Linked DNA regions of Arabidopsis thaliana. Each later gene encodes a partner of the first gene's protein in a complex. Each region holds a gene or a part of one and is shown on either strand. Other genes may lie near its edges.

Region 1 (8,672 bases):
ACCTGACCACAATCTTGATCTGGCTCTCCGATGCTGAACCAACATACGGCGAAGTTCTCAAGTGCTGTCTTGATGTCTCTTACGCCACTTTTCAGACAATAGCCATTGCGCTAGTGAGTGTCTTGGTGGTTGGACCAGCTTCACTAGGGAATGGCTTGGTGGCTCCAGTTGCTGTGGCTCTAGCTTCATTCATAGTGGCTTTCCCCGTGTCCACGAGTCTGCTGACTAAACGGATTGCCTTTGGGCAGATTGTTGTAGTCTACGTGACTTTTGTGGTGTTCAATGGAGAGGTGGCTCATGTATTCATGCTCCCGGTTCATGTGGCAGGCAGTACAGCACTTGGAGCCATTGCTTCACTCATCGCAGTGCTTCTCCCGTTTCCAAGGCTGGCTCATAGTCAGGTGAGTCTTGAGTTTTTTTTTTGTTTTTCCACGACGATGAGATGGTCACAAAATACTTACCTTGGGTTTTAAATGGTTTGCAGATGAGTAAGGGTTGCAAATTATATGCTGAAAATGCTCTTGAGAGGTTGAATATGTTTGTGGAGATCATGATGGCACGAGACAACACCACAGCTCAGGTTTTGATCGCACGGGCTGCTTCATTGTCTGCAGCAGCTAAAAACACACTCAAGAACATCAAAATCCACCATGTAAGCCAACTGTCTAAACAAAATTAAGCATAATCACTGAAATATCATCTGTTATATAACTGTAACTCTTTTGTTTTGACCCGTCTTGTGGGACTAATTATCTGTTTCTGACTAATCAATTCTTTGGCAACAGGAGCGTATATCATGGGAGAGACCAGATACAAGATTCTTGAGCAGGAAGCAGAAGTTGGATCCTGCAGAGAAACTGCATGCAACAGATTTTCTGTTGAGGGGATTGGAGCTGGCTTTGGGCTCTTGCAGTTCCTTTCCTCAAGGCATGAGCCGCGACGAACTGACTCGTCTTTTAGAAGGTCCCAGGACACATATTGCTCCACGGTCAGAATCTACTCTCAAGTCCCAAGATAGTCTAGGGTGGCATCATGAGGCTGAGTCTCTGTCTACTGCAGCTTTACCGGTTTGCTTCTTCCGGTACTGCGTAGAACTCTTCAGAGGTGATTTCTTATCTTTGAGACAAGACAGTAAATCCGTAAATGGAAGGACCACGGAGGAAGAAATTCATCCAGCAAACGAAGGGTTGTCCATGGCCAGAAAGTTTTGGGACATTCTCTGTGTCTGGATGGCCAGAGAAAGGTTTGTTTTTGCATTCAAGTGCTCAATTTCTCTTGGCCTTGCGGTGCTGTTTGGTATACTGTATAATAAAAATAACGGGTATTGGTCGGGTCTAACTGTAGCCATTAGCCTTGTAAGCGGTAGGCAAGCAACACTAACAGTAGCAAATTCTCGTCTACAAGGGACAGCCATGGGATCAGTCTACGGTCTAATATGTTGTTCTGTTTTCCAAAGACTAGAAGAATTCAGGTTCTTACCTCTTCTCCCTTGGATAATCCTCGCCGTCTTCATGAGGCACAGCAAAGTCTATGGCCAGCCTGGAGGAGTTACGGCTGCAATTGCTGCACTGTTGATACTTGGGAGGAGAAATTATGGAGCTCCAACTGAATTTGCAATCGCTCGCATCGTTGAAGCTTCGATCGGGTTGCTCTGTTTTGTCTTCGGGGAGATTCTTGTCACCCCTGCGAGAGCAGCAACGCTTGCAAGAACCGAAATTTCACACTGTCTCGATGCCCTCTTAGATTGCATCCAATCACTCGTTCTTTGTTCTGAGCAGAAGAACCAGAAAGTGGTTGCAGATTTGAGAAAAAGTCAGGTAAAACTCAAATCTCATGTTGAAGCATTAGAGAGGTTTGCAGCAGAAGCCTTAACAGAGCCTAAGATTCCGTTCCTCCGCCGGCTCAACACGGACAGTTACAACAGGCTTTTGGGCTCTTTCTCGAAGATATCTGATCTTTGTCTCTATGTTTGTGATGGCCTCAAAAATCTATCTGGAGTTCAACCAACACTTGCATTTCCTTGGGACAACATCACTCATGAGCTTAGAGCCTTCCAAGAAAAGCTTCACCCTTCGGTGAAATGCTTAAAAGAGATTTCTCAAACCAAGTCTCAAGCAAGACTCCAAAAGGAGTTGCAGAAGAGAAAGATCTGCCATGATGTTGAAGCAGGAACAACATCAAACGACAACTACTCATACATGGAGCTGGGTCCAAGCCAGGCTGATGTGGAGAGGTTTTCGGTTTCTTTCGTCATGCTACTGAAGGAAGCAACAGACAAGATAAGTTGTAACACAGCAGACGATGCGTTCAAGAGTGAAACTGCCCTATGTCTGAGCAGTCTAGGGTTCTGCATTAGCAGATTAATGCAGGAAACAATATGTATTATGACAGAAATAACCCATACAACTTGATTTTGGAAGAATTCTAGAGGATGTTAGTACCTATAGCACAAACCATTTTGTAAGAAACGTTTGGTGTACAAAATTAATCTAAAAAAGAGCAAAAACGAAGCAAATTGTTTCTCTAGAGCAACAAAACATAGAAACGCTGCAAACAGAACAATTCTCATTATTAACTGGAGTTCATCTAGCTCTAGCTCTAACAGATACACGGACTCGTGATTGGTCTTGTATCAATGAACATGTAAATCCAAACAAAAATATACAGCAAAGCTTTCACCAACCTATCAGATAACAAATCCGCTCATAATTTAACATGCAAGACCCGGAAATTGCTATAGAAACAAGCCTTTTATAGCGAATTATCAAAGTATATGAATAACAGCACTACAAAAAAAAAAGATTTCTGCAGCTAAAACCAAGTATTACAAAAGCTTAAACATCTTCCTTAAGAGCTACAAAAAAACATCTTCAAGTATCGAATCTGAATGACATGTTGAGTCTGACATAACATTGTAGAAACCAACAATGATTCTGAACCTCATTTCTATTCGAATTTAGGGTCAGCCATGACGAAATGGTAGGCAATCACCAGTATGAAAATGAAGATTCCCAGGAAATTGGCAAAGAATCCCAGATCTTGATCGTCAAACATCTGTAACACAATAACCATTGGAGAGAATATTAGAACAAAGAGCTAAGCTTAGCAAGTGAAGTCTGAAGATTAAACGAATCAGATATTCACAAAAATGTTCACATCTACTACATTCTCAGCTATATCTTGTAGAAATCACTCCAAAATCTCAGCTAGATCTAGAGGATATCCGAATCATTATCAAAATTGGTAGCAACGATTACGGTCATACATTATAATGAATCCATGATTTTGATTACAAATTCAATATATATTTCTTCTACAAACAAGACCTGATCTGGAACACGAAATCTAGTAAGAACAATACGTGTTAATAAAAATAATATTGATTCATAAGATAACCAAACCACGACATTGGTTGAATCTGATACCTGTGAGATGAAACAAAGGCTTTGCTCAGATCACAGTGTAAACCTCGGGGACTAAATTATGCCTAAGAACCAGAATTTGAATTCGAAAATATGAAGGTATATAAAAAAAGATCCTAAAGAAATCACCGATTATTTACCTTCGAAAGCGCAGAGAATTTCGTGATAGAGAATTCTGGAAGAGCAGGGAACTCGTGAAATGTGTTTCTTCAACTGTGAAGTCTCTCTGAATGAAACACATGTTTTACAAAAATAAAGTAAAAGCTAGCTCCAAACGACGACGTTTCTAGTTAATTTAACCGAGAAATTCACATCTATTAGATTTGGTTCTTGTGGTTTAATTTGGTCAATATCGGTTTGCTACAAATGTCATATCCAGGACATGAATAAAGGAAAGACTGAAAAATTGAAAAGTTGCATACTTCCCAAGTCTCAATTATAAGGAACTTCCAGAGACATTAATTATTATACAAAACGACCATTTTTGTTCTTTACAATTGAATAGACAATACTGTTTTAAGCTTTTCACACTTGTGATCTCCCCGAATGTGAACAGATCAAAGAGTTATTCGTCGTGGGTAAATACATTCTCTACCTTAAGAGCTAAAAACAGGAAAGAGAAGAGTGAAACACAGACCATAACCAGCATCACTATGAGCATTGCTTGCAGTGATATGTACGGGCTTAGGAAGAACACTATCGCTATTGCTGCGCTCTGCCATACTTTTAGCTGCGCAAATGCTCCTTCCTGTTTTCACAAGTACAAACATAGGAGACCGTTTAGAGGATTTGTCAGTTGAGAGAATAACAATAATAATATTTTGATAATATTAACCGTGTCATGTTTGAAGAGTAATGCGAGAAGAGCACTGATTTGAGTATTTAATATTCCATCACCAATTCCTAATATGGCCGCCATTATAAGTGGGTAAGCTGTGCCAAGTACTCCGCTAGTTTGCCTGCATCACCATATCACCATAGCTTAGATTCTTCAGAAACACTTATAGGTTGTCAGGTGCCCGCAATTCCTAATTCTCTTCAGAACTTGCATAGTTTCACAAATATGACAAAGAAATCGGGATACTACCAAAGGAAGTTGCTTGATCAATGCCACTAATACATACCAATACCCATAATGAAGCTTTATGAGGAAATCATTTCATGAATTCAGAAACACAAGGACTTCTAGACTCGATATGTCTCTATTTGTGAAGTTGCTAATGGTTTGAATGAAAATAGGGTGTAGAAGTATCAAACCTGTACCCGAGAAGAAGCCAGAGAAACACAGAAGCTTGAGCAACAGCTCCACCAGAAACTATGAAGGTGATCGATGACAAACCAGAGGTAAACCTTCCAGCAGTCATTGAACACTAGAATGATTTTACAGCAGGAAAAATAAGGATTAACCACATAAAAAAAACACGAGAGTAAAAAAGGATGATTTTTTACGTTTCCTTTTAACTTACAACTGCATCAAGAGCTCCGTAGACTGCCATCGCCCCACCAACACCTGAGACACCAATCGCCGGCGTAACAATTTCCTTTGTAAACTCAGCCCTATAGAGTGGAAAATGTAACTTGTAAGAATAATGAAGATTTATATCAGTATATCTTACAAAAAAAATAACAAACTTTTGCTGATTTCGCTGACAAGAAATGAAAACTTATGTATAGATTGGAAACAACTATTCACTGCTAAGATCCTGAGACTCCAACCACCACAATGAACTTTATGTACGTTATCTAGGGCCTGACCGATAATAACTTTGATCGCAATAAATCCTAATCATTTAAGGATATCCTTGTGAGAATAAAAGGGAAAACGGGGAATGTATATCCAGTTTGTTGAGAGACATACCAAACAAATGCTTGTTGCAATCCTGAATATGCAAGGAGTGGGACAATCAGTAGCATCCGTATGTCGAGCAAAGGAGTAATTATCATCCTTGGAAGAGATGCCAAGGAATCAACTAAGCCCACAGGAGAACCCACAGGTCCTTTTCCATCTTCTCCATCAATTTTCCGAATGAAGAACATAAGTATTGTTCCTAATGTCATACTGAAGAGAAACACCAACATCAATAAGGTAGTGCCACTGGTGCTTCCTTCCTACAGTCATGTCAACAAGAAGAAAACAATGGTGGGGATACCCAACTAGAAGGAGGTATATATAATTCATCACTGAGAATGTGTAGCATGATCTGCTATTCAATACTCCAACTTTAGGAATGATCACTTCATTAAACAGTAGTCAATACTAATAACTCTAATACATGAGATTGCTGTCAACGATAAAGAAAAGTTAGTACCTTTCCATCTTTCAGTAATGCAAGTGTGATGAGATTCCCAAACAGCTACAAAAAGATTGACATGAAATGTGTCACAAGAAGAATTAAGAGTAAGTGCATACAAGATTCTGAGGTAACCAAAGAAGAAAGAGCATTAAGAAAGCATAATAAAAGAAACATGCACCTGGTGGCAGGCAAACATAGCCCAAAATTCCCCATTGAAGACACCTATTACCGAACCTTCATGCAGGCCATGATCTGTAGCATGGCTTCTCGCAATTGATGTAAGGTATGTTCCCTAATGCAGTCAATACAATGTAATTTAAGGTCATGAAATCCACTATATATCCGCATAAATAACATTAAGAGAAAACAAGAGCATGTAGTGTCACCTGACCAACCCATATTATTGAAGCTGCAAATCCAAGGTATAAAGAGGCTGGTACCATAGTAAACCTAGAACCAATAACCATATATCAAGACAAAAAGTGTTAAAGACTAAAAGATTCAAATAGATGGAGACAGGTGGCCAAAAGAAGCAAGAGAACATATGATAATACCATGATGGCTTCAGATTAGCAGCAACAAAGAGCCAATACCCAGTAGTTCCTAAAACCAGAGCATTCTTTGATCCCATTAACCGGACAACCAAAGATGCAACCATGGAGCAAAACATGAAGGACACATACAATATCCCCAGAGAGATTGTTCCCAAATCCTGAAGTAATCAAAACAACTCAAATATCACAACACACACACACAGTCTAACATGTCCTGCTCCTAAATTCATATTCCTCTCTCTTAAGATCCATCAATACAAAATGACAGTATAATTTAACGGTAGAGCACCTTATTTACGGTAGTTTCGAGGTTCTGAGCAGCACCGTAAGCGAGGAAGATTAGCAGAAAGGAGATGCTGAGGATATGAACATCCCTTGTGTAGCACTTTCCAGCTCTGACTTTCCGATCCTCACCAGAGGCAGAGATCAACGGCGCCTCCTCGTCGTTTCGAGATTCCATGGCGGAGATTTAGTCCGGTCACCTCACTGACTACAGCTCCGGGAAAGATGAGCGGTGCTCCACGGAGAGAGTGAAAGTCAAACTCTGTAGAGAGAGAGATCGATGCCTACCGTTTCAGAGATTTGGAACTTCCAAGACCGGTGATGATTGCGGTTCGGTTTATTTTGGTACGGTATTTCTAATTTCAATTTATATCGGTTCAGACTAAATTGAGATTGGTGTTTGTTGGGCTGGGCCAATTAAAGAATCTCAAGATTTATAATTTCCGTTTATTTCCCGGGGAAACTGAGGAAGAAACGAGATCCTTTACAATTTTGTATTTATTATACCCAAAGATTTGTAAACCCTAATTTCAATAGCATCATAACGTAAAATCAATCATAGAAAATATCGAAGAGACTGCCGAAAATTATATCTTTGAAATCAACTGGTGAACATATTAACCGAAAATAAAATCGAAGAGAAAAAAAGAACCTAATCTAAGAACTGGTGAATTTGGTGACGGCTTTGGTACCCTCAGAAACAGCGTGCTTCGCTAATTCACCAGGCAACACGAGCCTTACGGCGGTTTGGATTTCCCGGGACGTGATCGTCGGTTTCTTGTTATACCTAGCCAATCGCGACGATTCCAGAGCAATTTTCTCGAAGGTGTCGTTGATGAAACTGTTCATGATTCCCATGGCTTTTCCAGAGATCCCGATATCAGGATGAACTTGTTTCAACACCTTGAATAGGTAGATCTTGTACGTCTCTGTGCTCTTCTTAGTCTTCTTCTTCCTCTCGCTTCCTCCTTCTTTCGTGATCTTCTTATCTGCCTTTGGTGCTTTCTCCGACGGTTTCTTCTCTGCCTTCGGTGCCATTGCTTTGGATAAAATTCGGATTTCGCGACTAGTTGTAAATTGACGATTAATGATCGCTCTCCGAGTGATACCGAGATATATATAGAGGTGCTGATACGAACATGATTGGTTTTTGATCAATCTCACGGATCGTCTACGTGGCGTTATCACGTGCGTTGATACAAGATAATCTACGGTTGAATTCACGAGAGGAACCGAACTAATCGTGGGCTCATCTAATGGGCCTTGGCCTTTTACAAGACGGCATCCTTTTTAAAAAATTTCGTCGATTTCCAACTTATTTGCTCTGCTCTTCTTTAATCTGCTCTGTTCTTCTCTTTCCATTTCAGCGTTGACTTAGTTATTGGGATTTCTCAGAAGCAAAAATGGCGTCTCCGGCGACGTTTCAATTCTCTAGAACAAAACTTAACCTTCAGATCAACCTCGTCGAGCGAAAATCTCCTTCAAAACTCTCGTTTCCTCTTTTATTCAGAGACCAAGCAAAGTCAACACCAATCAGATTTCCCGTCATAAGAGCTTCATCATCTTCGTCGGCGTCAAATCATAAACCTTCACTGCTTAAAACCACCTTCATCAGCCTCACCGCAGCCGCAGCTCTGTTCTCAGCATCGTTTTACTTCGTCAACAAACGCGCCGCGATGACTCCAGTTGCTGTGGTAGAGACGACACTCGAGAAGCACCTCGAGACACAATCAAACGATGTGAATGCTTTATCATTGCTGACGGAAATCAAATTTAAGTCCGATAAACATGAGCAGGCGATTGTATTTCTGGACCGTCTGATCGAGATCGAGCCATATGAACGAAAATGGCCGGCTATGAAGGCTCGGATTCTCTCATACCACGGGAAAAGTGAATCAGCAATCGAAGCTTTCGAGGAGATTCTCGAAAAGGATCCGATACGCGTCGATGCTTATCATTACTTGGTGATGGAGTATTACAACTCTAAACCTAAATTAACAGAGATAGAGAAGAGGATCAACAAAGTGATTCGAAGATGCAAGAAGGAGAAGAAGACGAAAGAGATTCTCGGTTTCAGAATGTTGATCGCACAGATTAGGTTTATTGAAGGAAAATCAGTT
Region 2 (8,937 bases), on another chromosome or scaffold:
TTCACTTTTTTTTCTTTCAGGCTGTAGTTGATGCATTTACAGACGACGCAACTGGTGCGATTATTCTAAGCAATGCATAATTGGTGGCCATATTCTTTTCATTATCTTAGTATAGAGCTGGGGGCTTGGGGATAAACATCTCAGACAAATAAATTCAAAATATTTTAAATTTAATATGGCAAGAATATTTTGGACATATCGTTTTATTTACTAGCCATTTGTTTTCTGTGTGTGTTTAACGAGCTATATGATTGTTCAAAATTCCAGAATTGAACATTATCCTAAACGATCAATGAATACATATTGATTGAAAATTATGAAAATACTAGATTACTAGTATGTCATCCATTTTTTTCAATTTAAAATAACAACGGAGATAAAGATAACTTGGTTATGACAAAGTAATTTTTTTTGCTAAATGTCATAACCCCTGTGACGAATAATTTTTGTTATGTTTTTGTTGCAAAAATAATTCAGAAGAACTATAAACTGTCTCTCACTCGATCGATATTTATTTATGAATTCTTCTGACGTTGGATTTGTATCAATATATATACTGTTTGTTTGTAAGCTAACCTGTAATTTTATTTAATAAATTAAAATGATCTTAGGATTGATCATGAGATAAAGAGACGAACACATAAGGGATCTTCTTCTTGTCCCCATGAATTATAAAAACAAAAATTGTATACGATGTCGGATTCTGTAGATTAACTACATTTTGTTTTAGTTTTGGAGGGATTGGATGATGCATTTATCATACAAAATATGAAACCCTATTTTACAATCTATTCATGTGAACGACATCAAGCAACTATGTTGGTAATATCAAAATCTTGATTTCTTTTTCCGGTAAAGATATTAATTTATGCAATGACCATATCGACTCCTTGATCGGAAGCTGAAAGTCCGGTGCCTCTACCTTGAAGCTGAAGACAACCAGATTGGCATGCAGGTTCGCAAATGTCTTGCGTGGCTTCGATCACTTTCATGCATATTGGCATACATTCTCTGTGGCATAGCGGCAATACTTTCTTTCCTAGTAGTGCTTCTTGTCCTACTACGATATCCGACCATGTCAATAACGTAATTATCATCAAACTCAGGGTGGCTAAGTTTTTGCTCCGGTTCTTCATATTGTAGTTCGTGAGAAGTTGATCAGGAAAAGGGAGAGAGAGAAAAATGGTTTCGTGGAAGAGAAGGAAATGTTTTTGAGTAAAAGAGAATGGTCAAGAGTCAAAAGATAGTAGTAGCCTCATATTTGTTCGATTTTTTCGTCAATTTTCACTATTTTTAAAATACACAGAGATATCCCTATTTTTAATAACTATTGAGTGGACGAGATTATATGAGAGCAGAGAAAAGTCTTATTCGGCTTTTTTTAAAAAAGTGGATCATGTGAATCTACGTTCACTAATAGTCTTATATTGTATGGATTTTTCCAATCTATAATTGCCGAATGTTTTTCAATAACTCGAAACTTGTTTACATATATGAAAATAACAGAAAAAGTCAATATGTTTTACTAGTCAAGATAAACGATAGATTTTCATAAAATATTTGACTACATTATCAGTTGGATTTCGGCGTATAAGAGAGATCAATCGATTACAAACATTAAAGTTATAATAAGTTCAACCATAGTTGAGCCGAAACATCTCATTTTGGACGAAGAAACTTCCTTGCAGAACCGGAATCAAGTGAAACGTCTGCAATTAATAAATAATGTTATTATTCAAGTCAGCTAAAAATCCAACAAAAATAAAATAATACAGGCTCATACTATATAGCTTATAGTTTGATTCATATAATTTAGTAACAACATTAAAAATTGAAGATTGTTATAGCGGGGGTCCAAGATAAACCGATGGAAACTAGAAAACAATGAAAATAACATTTTGTTTTATGCAAATCGATTAAGCTAAACCTAAGATTGTTTTAACCAAATGAAACCTTCGAATCGATTACAAATAGATAAGAGATAGACCTGGCTAAACCTAAGAGGATGATCCTCTCCATGTAATTGGATGCTACCGCTCACAAAAACTAGGATTCCACCACATCCACCGGCCATTGAAGACGGCTGAGAATCGACGGTGCTGATCAAATGATGGCATTGATCGAACGGAAGTTGTTTAAGCTTATTGGAGATGTTATCCACGCCGTAGATCGTTTGGCCTTCAAAAGTGAGCAAAGAGGTGGGATTGTAGAGAGAAGAAAGCGATGATCGATCGTTGTCAAAGAGATGGTAGTAGTGATTCACAAAAGCACTTGCCACTTCTTCTTCAATTCCTTTATTTGTCTCTGCCATAGTCAAAATTTCCAAAATAAAATTGATTTTCTTAGCAAAACCAAACAGTAGTAATATTAACATGAGCTCTCTTAAGTAATTAAATTCTAGGGTGTGAAGGAATTAGATGCTTAACTTTAAACAAAGCTGGAAGAAAAGAACAAAGAGAGAATCTTTTCACTTTTAAGAAGGTTTCTTGTGGGTCAAGTATTGCATACAATCTTTTTCCAAACCTTCACACATAGTAAAGCAACGATTATTTGGTAGAGTACTCTTTCTCAATGGATGCAAAGCAACACCATAAGCATTATAAGTCTTCGAGCAATCATTCCTCTAGTTAGCACAAATTCGTGAATCCTAAACTGCAATTATTGAATCTTTAAACTATAAACTTGGCTATATGCATGTTCAAGTATTGAAAGCCAAAACACTAACTAATCAGTTCCACAATCTTGAAAAACTAACCTTACGTGAAGATCACTCATCCCCGCCAACTCGATGGCCAATATGGGTAAATTTCATAACCAGTCTTCCAATTATCCAAGTAAACAACTTTCCTCACAGCCCAAAACGATATAGACAGAGCCAAAAGCATAGCCATCCTTTGCTCATCGAGTTTCTTGACTCGTACAACTACATTAGTAACAAACGCCAAAAGCAATCCAACAACAGTATACAAAAACCCTACAAAGAAACCTTCTGCTCCAAGCTGCATCTCTGATTCTTCTATAAAGAAAACAAACTTACTTGAATCTTCATAATCTTTGATATACATTGGCATTTCTCTAATGATGTTATGCATTGTCCCCGAGACGCTGAAGAAGTAGACGAAAACCGCGCCAACTAACCAGATTCTATGGTCATGGAGAAGTGTTTCTCCTTTTAGAATCTTCTTGATGAGAATCGGAGTCGAGATTATGATTATAGCAACGATGATTCCGATTTGTGTCTTTGATATGAGTGGTGGTCGTTGGATTGAACAAACGGTGAGTTTTGTTTGACGTTCGACGAACTCTGCCATTGATTCGGCTAATCCAGTGAAATCTCCACCGTCCATTTGATCTGATTCTGTTAAATTCTCTGTCGTGGGGCTAACGAGGGAAATGTGTGGTAGTGACTCGACGGCGAAGCGGCGGAAAGAAGCCTCGGAGTGAGTTGATTCGATCTCGCAGAAGAAGAGCTTTGTGCCGTTAGATTCATTGTTGTTGTTGGTGATGAAAGTGGCGGAGACGAGTCTGAATTCGCGGCGGAACTCTGGAAGACGTAGCTGGCTATTGCCGTGGAGATGAACGGCGTCGAAGAAGATGATGAGTGAGTAAGGTCTAGGAGTGGATACGGAGGTTATGAATTTGGAAACGTCGTCGTTGTTGAAGGAGATCACGCCTGATTCGGCGGTTGATCGGAGGGAGACTAGTTCGTTTTTGAGATCTGAATCTGATTTTGGATTCGCTAGGGTAAATAAAAACACAATTAAGATGAAGAAACGATATGAGAGATTCGTTTGAATCACCATTTTTAGATCACTCTCTGATTGGATTTGAAGAAGAAAGGAGATAGAGAGATCTGGAATTGCCGGGAAATACTGGAGAAGTGAAGAACTGTTCAAAATTCTAGGTGTTTATAGGTTTGATTGAACCTTCTTGATGAGTTAGAGGGTTTAGTTTTAAAGAAGGGAAAAAAAGGAAAAGAAATTGACAGCTGTGGGATTTGAACCCACGCCCTTTCGGACCAGAGCCTAAATCTGGCGCCTTAGACCACTCGGCCAAACTGTCTTGTTGTATGATATGTGAAACTTAAACATTCTATAATTAACAATAAAATTGATGATCACTTCTGGTTTCTCTTATTAGGACCGACATGCCGACAAGTTGAGATTCTTTTACAGGAAACATATGAGAAACCACTTAGTAATACAAAAAAGAGAGACTCATACATGGATTAGAGAGTTTACATAAAACTAGACCATGCATATTTATTTCATCGCTCGTAAATCATTTAAATGGTATTATTAATGTATAAGAAATCATTTTTGTCATTATCATAATCTTAATACTACTCTATTATAGTCTAAAGTAACAAGGTCGAGTTGCATATACTTGTGGTATTATATAAACCTCAGTCTACAATCTTAGATCTGAAACATTCATATCCATACAAAAAATAGTAATTATGTAAAAATGTAAGAATACCGGATTATGCAAGAGACAATCCAATAAACTAATCTTTGTCAACCTAATAATTTAGTAACTCCAGGTGTATTATTTCCCTGCTTTCTTATTCATAACGTGCTTGTTTCACGTGCCTTGTCTTGGGCTAACAAAATATGAGAGAGGCAAGGCAAACTCTTTCTTTTGTTGAACAAAATATTATGTTCCGAAGCATGTTCGCCTATATTATTTGGGTTTTGTTAGACATATTCCCATATCAGATTTACTAAGTGAAGATTAACCAAAGAATTAAAGTACAGAGTTAAATAATGTTTTTGGTTTTGCTTTTACATGAACATTTCTATGGATCCCACTTCCACTTGGTGGCAGCCTGGAGATCCAATTCTCCATGTTCTGCTGTTGTTTTCTATATTTCCTATAGTACCCTTGCTAGCTCATCAATATGGTTCAAATGACCTATCTCAGCAACTTAATGAATAAACCGGTCGGCTTTTAATTAGCTAAACCGTGTGTATTATAACCAAACAGTTTACACTTGATTAACATAAAAATCATTGAGTTTTACTGTTAGTTTTCTTTAATTAAACTTTTTCATTTACCCTTTTTGCTTTCTTTTACAAATTATCGTAAACATCATTATTACATGAAAATCTTAGAAAAAAAACCGTATCAAAAGTCTAAACGCAATAGCATATTAAAAGAATTATTAATGGTCAAAACAGTCATTTCCCCGGTCTTTATAATAAAAGCAAGAAAGCTCTATACTCTTCTCACTCACGGAACAAGTGTAGATTGCATTACCTCTCTCTCTCTCTCTCTTCGAAATATTCGAAGTAGAGACAACCAATGGAGACGGAAAGGAGGATCATAACGAGCTGTTCTGCCATGACGGCTCTGTTCTTGTTCATGACGGCTCTAATGGCGTCGTCCTCTATCGCAGCAACACCGACACAATCGTTTGAAGATAATTTCAACATTATGTGGTCTGAAAATCACTTCACGACTTCCGATGATGGAGAGATCTGGAATCTTTCCTTAGATAACGACACCGGTACGTTCAAATCCAGTTTGCTTCCGGTTTAGGATCAATGCCGTTCTAGTCTTTCGAAATTACACTGATACTTACTCTGTTCCTACTTAAATCTACATGACATTTTTTAACTTAGTCTCTTGATTATTATATCGAAAGTTTAAATATTCTGATTGGATAAAAAATAAAACAGGATGTGGATTTCAGACAAAGCACATGTATAGATTCGGATGGTTTAGTATGAAGCTAAAGCTCGTCGGAGGCGACTCCGCCGGCGTCGTCACCGCTTACTACGTGAGCCGTCGTTCTTATTTAATGTTTCAATTTTGTAAAGAAGATAACCAATGATTTTGTTTTGTATTAATTATTTTAGATTAAATTTGGTTGAGCAGATGTGTTCGGAGAATGGGGCAGGACCGGAGAGAGACGAGATAGATTTCGAATTTCTAGGGAACCGAACCGGACAGCCTTACATTATTCAGACCAATGTGTATAAGAACGGAACCGGGAATCGGGAGATGCGACATTCCCTCTGGTTCGACCCGACCAAGGATTATCACACCTACTCAATTCTTTGGAATAACCACCAGCTTGTGTAAGTCCTCTCTTGATCTTGGCTAATGGTTAGTTGGCTACATATATAGAGATACCACGAACTGTACCGGGAATTTTGGGTAGAAACCGGAACCTTAGGTTTATGATCGGTTCGAAGTTAGAACCAACATTCCACTCACAATAACATAATTCAGTTTACAGATTAATTTCACAATAGGTTCAATCCTGTTTTCTTACGTTTAGCTTTGAGAAAACTTAAATGGTGCAGATTCAAATTTCGACCGACACAAAAATTCCAATCTGGTTTAAAGTTCAAACCGACCAAAGCAAGCCTATCTTAACCAAACTTTAAAGAACTCAAACTAGACCAACTCGAACCGAATTGGTCAATCAAAGCTAATTTTATCGATTGGTACAATGCATAACCCGGTTTAATCCAATCCAAACCAGGTTCTTCGTGGATAGGGTACCAATTCGAGTATACAAGAACAGTGATAAGGTACCAAACAACGACTTCTTCCCGAACCAGAAGCCGATGTACTTGTTCTCCAGCATTTGGAACGCTGACGATTGGGCTACACGTGGTGGTCTGGAGAAGACTGACTGGAAAAAAGCTCCATTCGTCTCTTCTTACAAGGACTTCGCCGTCGAAGGCTGCCGTTGGAAGGATCCATTCCCTGCATGCGTCTCTACCACAACAGAGAATTGGTGGGATCAGTACGACGCGTGGCATTTGTCCAAGACACAGAAGATGGATTATGCGTGGGTGCAGCGTAATCTCGTCGTATACGATTATTGCAAAGACAGTGAGAGGTTCCCTACTCTTCCTTGGGAGTGTTCCATTAGCCCTTGGGCTTAAAATCAATTTTGTTTTGAGTGTATTAAAGTGGAAATGGTTTATGTAATAATTTTACTCTCTTTTTTTTGGCATTTCTTATTTTGTTATGGACTATATCCTCTGTTTATTTATTTAATTAATTATTTATTTAGTCGGCTATATTTCATAACTGCTTTTTAAGATGTATATTAACTTGAGAATTCTTCTTACACTTAAGGTCTCAGAACAGAACAGTGGGTCAAAAATATAAACGAACATGGATGAGCATAAGAGTAAAGACATGTGACAAACAAAAGGTTCAGCTACAGCTACTAATGAAGCCCAAATACCTTATTGAAAAGAAATAGCATTTGTGATTGTGATATTATAAGAGAGCATATCCAGAAACTTTTGTCCGATTTACCATTCGATAACATCAATGACAATCGTCCATCGATCGTTGTAGTAGTAGCATCTCTAGAAGAACCCACAACTTTTGATTTCTTTGAAGAAATCAACGGAAGTGGGTTACATTACATCACAATCGTGAGGATAGGCCTAGGATTAGCGATTTACCGTTTTTTAATGTACATTTCTTCTATAAACACTATCTTCTAATAAATAGTCCAAGTTTGCTAAATATGCCAAGTTGGACATGTGTTATGTCCGGATTCATTCCGATATTAAAAGTCAACCTTTTACGTGCCAAGTGATGAACACTATTTATCGCATTTTTAATTTGAAAAACAATTCATTTTTGATTGACAATTTTGAATTTCTTGCATTTTATTACGATTGCCTCACTTTTGGGTATAAAAATAATAATATGACATACTGGTGGGATAAAATAAATAGTACGTTTTCTTACACACTATAAATTAAATATGTTCGTAAACTTACTTTGAACCACAATGTCAACTAAGCTTGCTAACATCATTTTTCCTCTAGAACTTGTCTCCCATATATGTTTCTAGCCCATTTCTCGTCTTGATAGTCAAAGGACATTTACACATAGCACAAGTATTTCTTTCCAAACTTGTATGCAAATATTCAAACTTTTCTCCCTTTCTCTTAATTAATTTCCAAAAATTGATATGTAAAAGAAAGACAAATATAACTTGGTGCCATAGTCTTTATTTTTTCAGCTAATAAATACATAATGCTATTACCACTTTTTACAAGTACCTAAAACAAAAACAAATCTAGAGGATATGGGAAAGAAGCTCCTTTGAATAAATATTTCAATAAAAATAATACTACTAGATCTACAAAAACATAGGAAAAATAATTGCATTTGTCATCTTTAGTTTTTTATTTCACCAAATTGTCTTAAATTAATTAATTCCGTAATAAATACCTTGTATTAGAATTGCAGTTGACTAAACCCTTTATTGATTCATATATAAGTATAAACCAAACAATAAATGAGCATAAAATTTCTAACGTTCCAAACAAAAATAAACCCCAAAACTTTCAAAAGGTTACAAACAACCCCCTAAGTAAAGAAAATGACGATCAATTTAGTCCCTCTTCTCCTCTCCCTAATCACCATCTTCACCATCTTCAATCCATCCGCCCTTGCAGACCAGAGTCAAATCCGCAGCACAACAAGCCAATGGCTCCATTTCTCGGAGGACCTCAGCCAATCAACTATTGAAGTCTCCATCCCCACCATAATCGCCGCCGTTCTCTCGTTCTTCGCCGCCTCTATCTCCAGCGCCGGAGGAATCGGCGGCGGTGGACTCTTCCTCTCGATAATGACAATCATCGCCGGTCTCGAAATGAAAACAGCTTCAAGCTTCTCAGCGTTCATGGTAACCGGCGTCTCTTTCGCTAACGTGGGATGCAATCTTTTCCTGAGAAACCCTAAATCAAGAGACAAAACCCTAATCGACTTCGATTTAGCTCTTACTATTCAGCCATGTCTACTTCTCGGAGTAAGTATTGGTGTGATCTGTAACCGTATGTTCCCAAATTGGCTTGTGTTGTTTCTCTTCGCTGTGTTCCTCGCCTGGTCAACGATGAAGACTTGTAAAAAGGGAGTTTCTTACTGGAATTTGGAGTCGGAAAGAGCGAA

What was found.
Region 2: AT3G09455 (region 1) and AT1G11560 share a complex: the UniProt entries of both Arabidopsis thaliana proteins name them as parts of the oligosaccharyltransferase (OST) complex.

Annotation. Positions count from the first base shown.
Region 1 is NC_003074.8:2,907,681-2,916,352, forward strand, and holds AT3G09455 (dolichyl-diphosphooligosaccharide-protein glycosyltransferase subunit), read right to left. Parts: upstream 3,675-8,672; 5' UTR 3,426-3,674; intron 3,055-3,425; coding exon 2,947-3,054; 3' UTR 2,731-2,946; downstream 1-2,730. Other genes in the region: AT3G09450 (fusaric acid resistance family protein), read left to right, coding at 1-401, 485-652, 786-2,411; AT3G09470 (Major facilitator superfamily protein), read right to left, coding at 3,988-4,170, 4,258-4,381, 4,680-4,792, 4,889-4,979, 5,281-5,531, 5,732-5,776, 5,895-6,008, 6,103-6,166 and 2 more; AT3G09480 (Histone superfamily protein), read right to left, coding at 7,210-7,590; AT3G09490 (Tetratricopeptide repeat (TPR)-like superfamily protein), read left to right, coding at 7,956-8,672. UniProt on the Arabidopsis thaliana protein: Subunit of the oligosaccharyl transferase (OST) complex that catalyzes the initial transfer of a defined glycan (Glc(3)Man(9)GlcNAc(2) in eukaryotes) from the lipid carrier dolichol-pyrophosphate to an asparagine residue within an Asn-X-Ser/Thr consensus motif in nascent polypeptide chains, the first step in protein N-glycosylation.
Region 2 is NC_003070.9:3,876,654-3,885,590, reverse strand, and holds AT1G11560 (Oligosaccharyltransferase complex/magnesium transporter family protein), read right to left. Parts: upstream 3,965-8,937; 5' UTR 3,804-3,964; coding exon 2,772-3,803; downstream 1-2,771. Other genes in the region: AT1G11572 (Plant thionin family protein), read right to left, coding at 867-1,136; NTL (NTF2-like protein), read right to left, coding at 1,635-1,709, 1,988-2,374; XTH8 (xyloglucan endotransglucosylase/hydrolase 8), read left to right, coding at 5,305-5,509, 5,682-5,782, 5,881-6,083, 6,494-6,902; AT1G11540 (Sulfite exporter TauE/SafE family protein), read left to right, coding at 8,369-8,937. UniProt on the Arabidopsis thaliana protein: Subunit of the oligosaccharyl transferase (OST) complex that catalyzes the initial transfer of a defined glycan (Glc(3)Man(9)GlcNAc(2) in eukaryotes) from the lipid carrier dolichol-pyrophosphate to an asparagine residue within an Asn-X-Ser/Thr consensus motif in nascent polypeptide chains, the first step in protein N-glycosylation.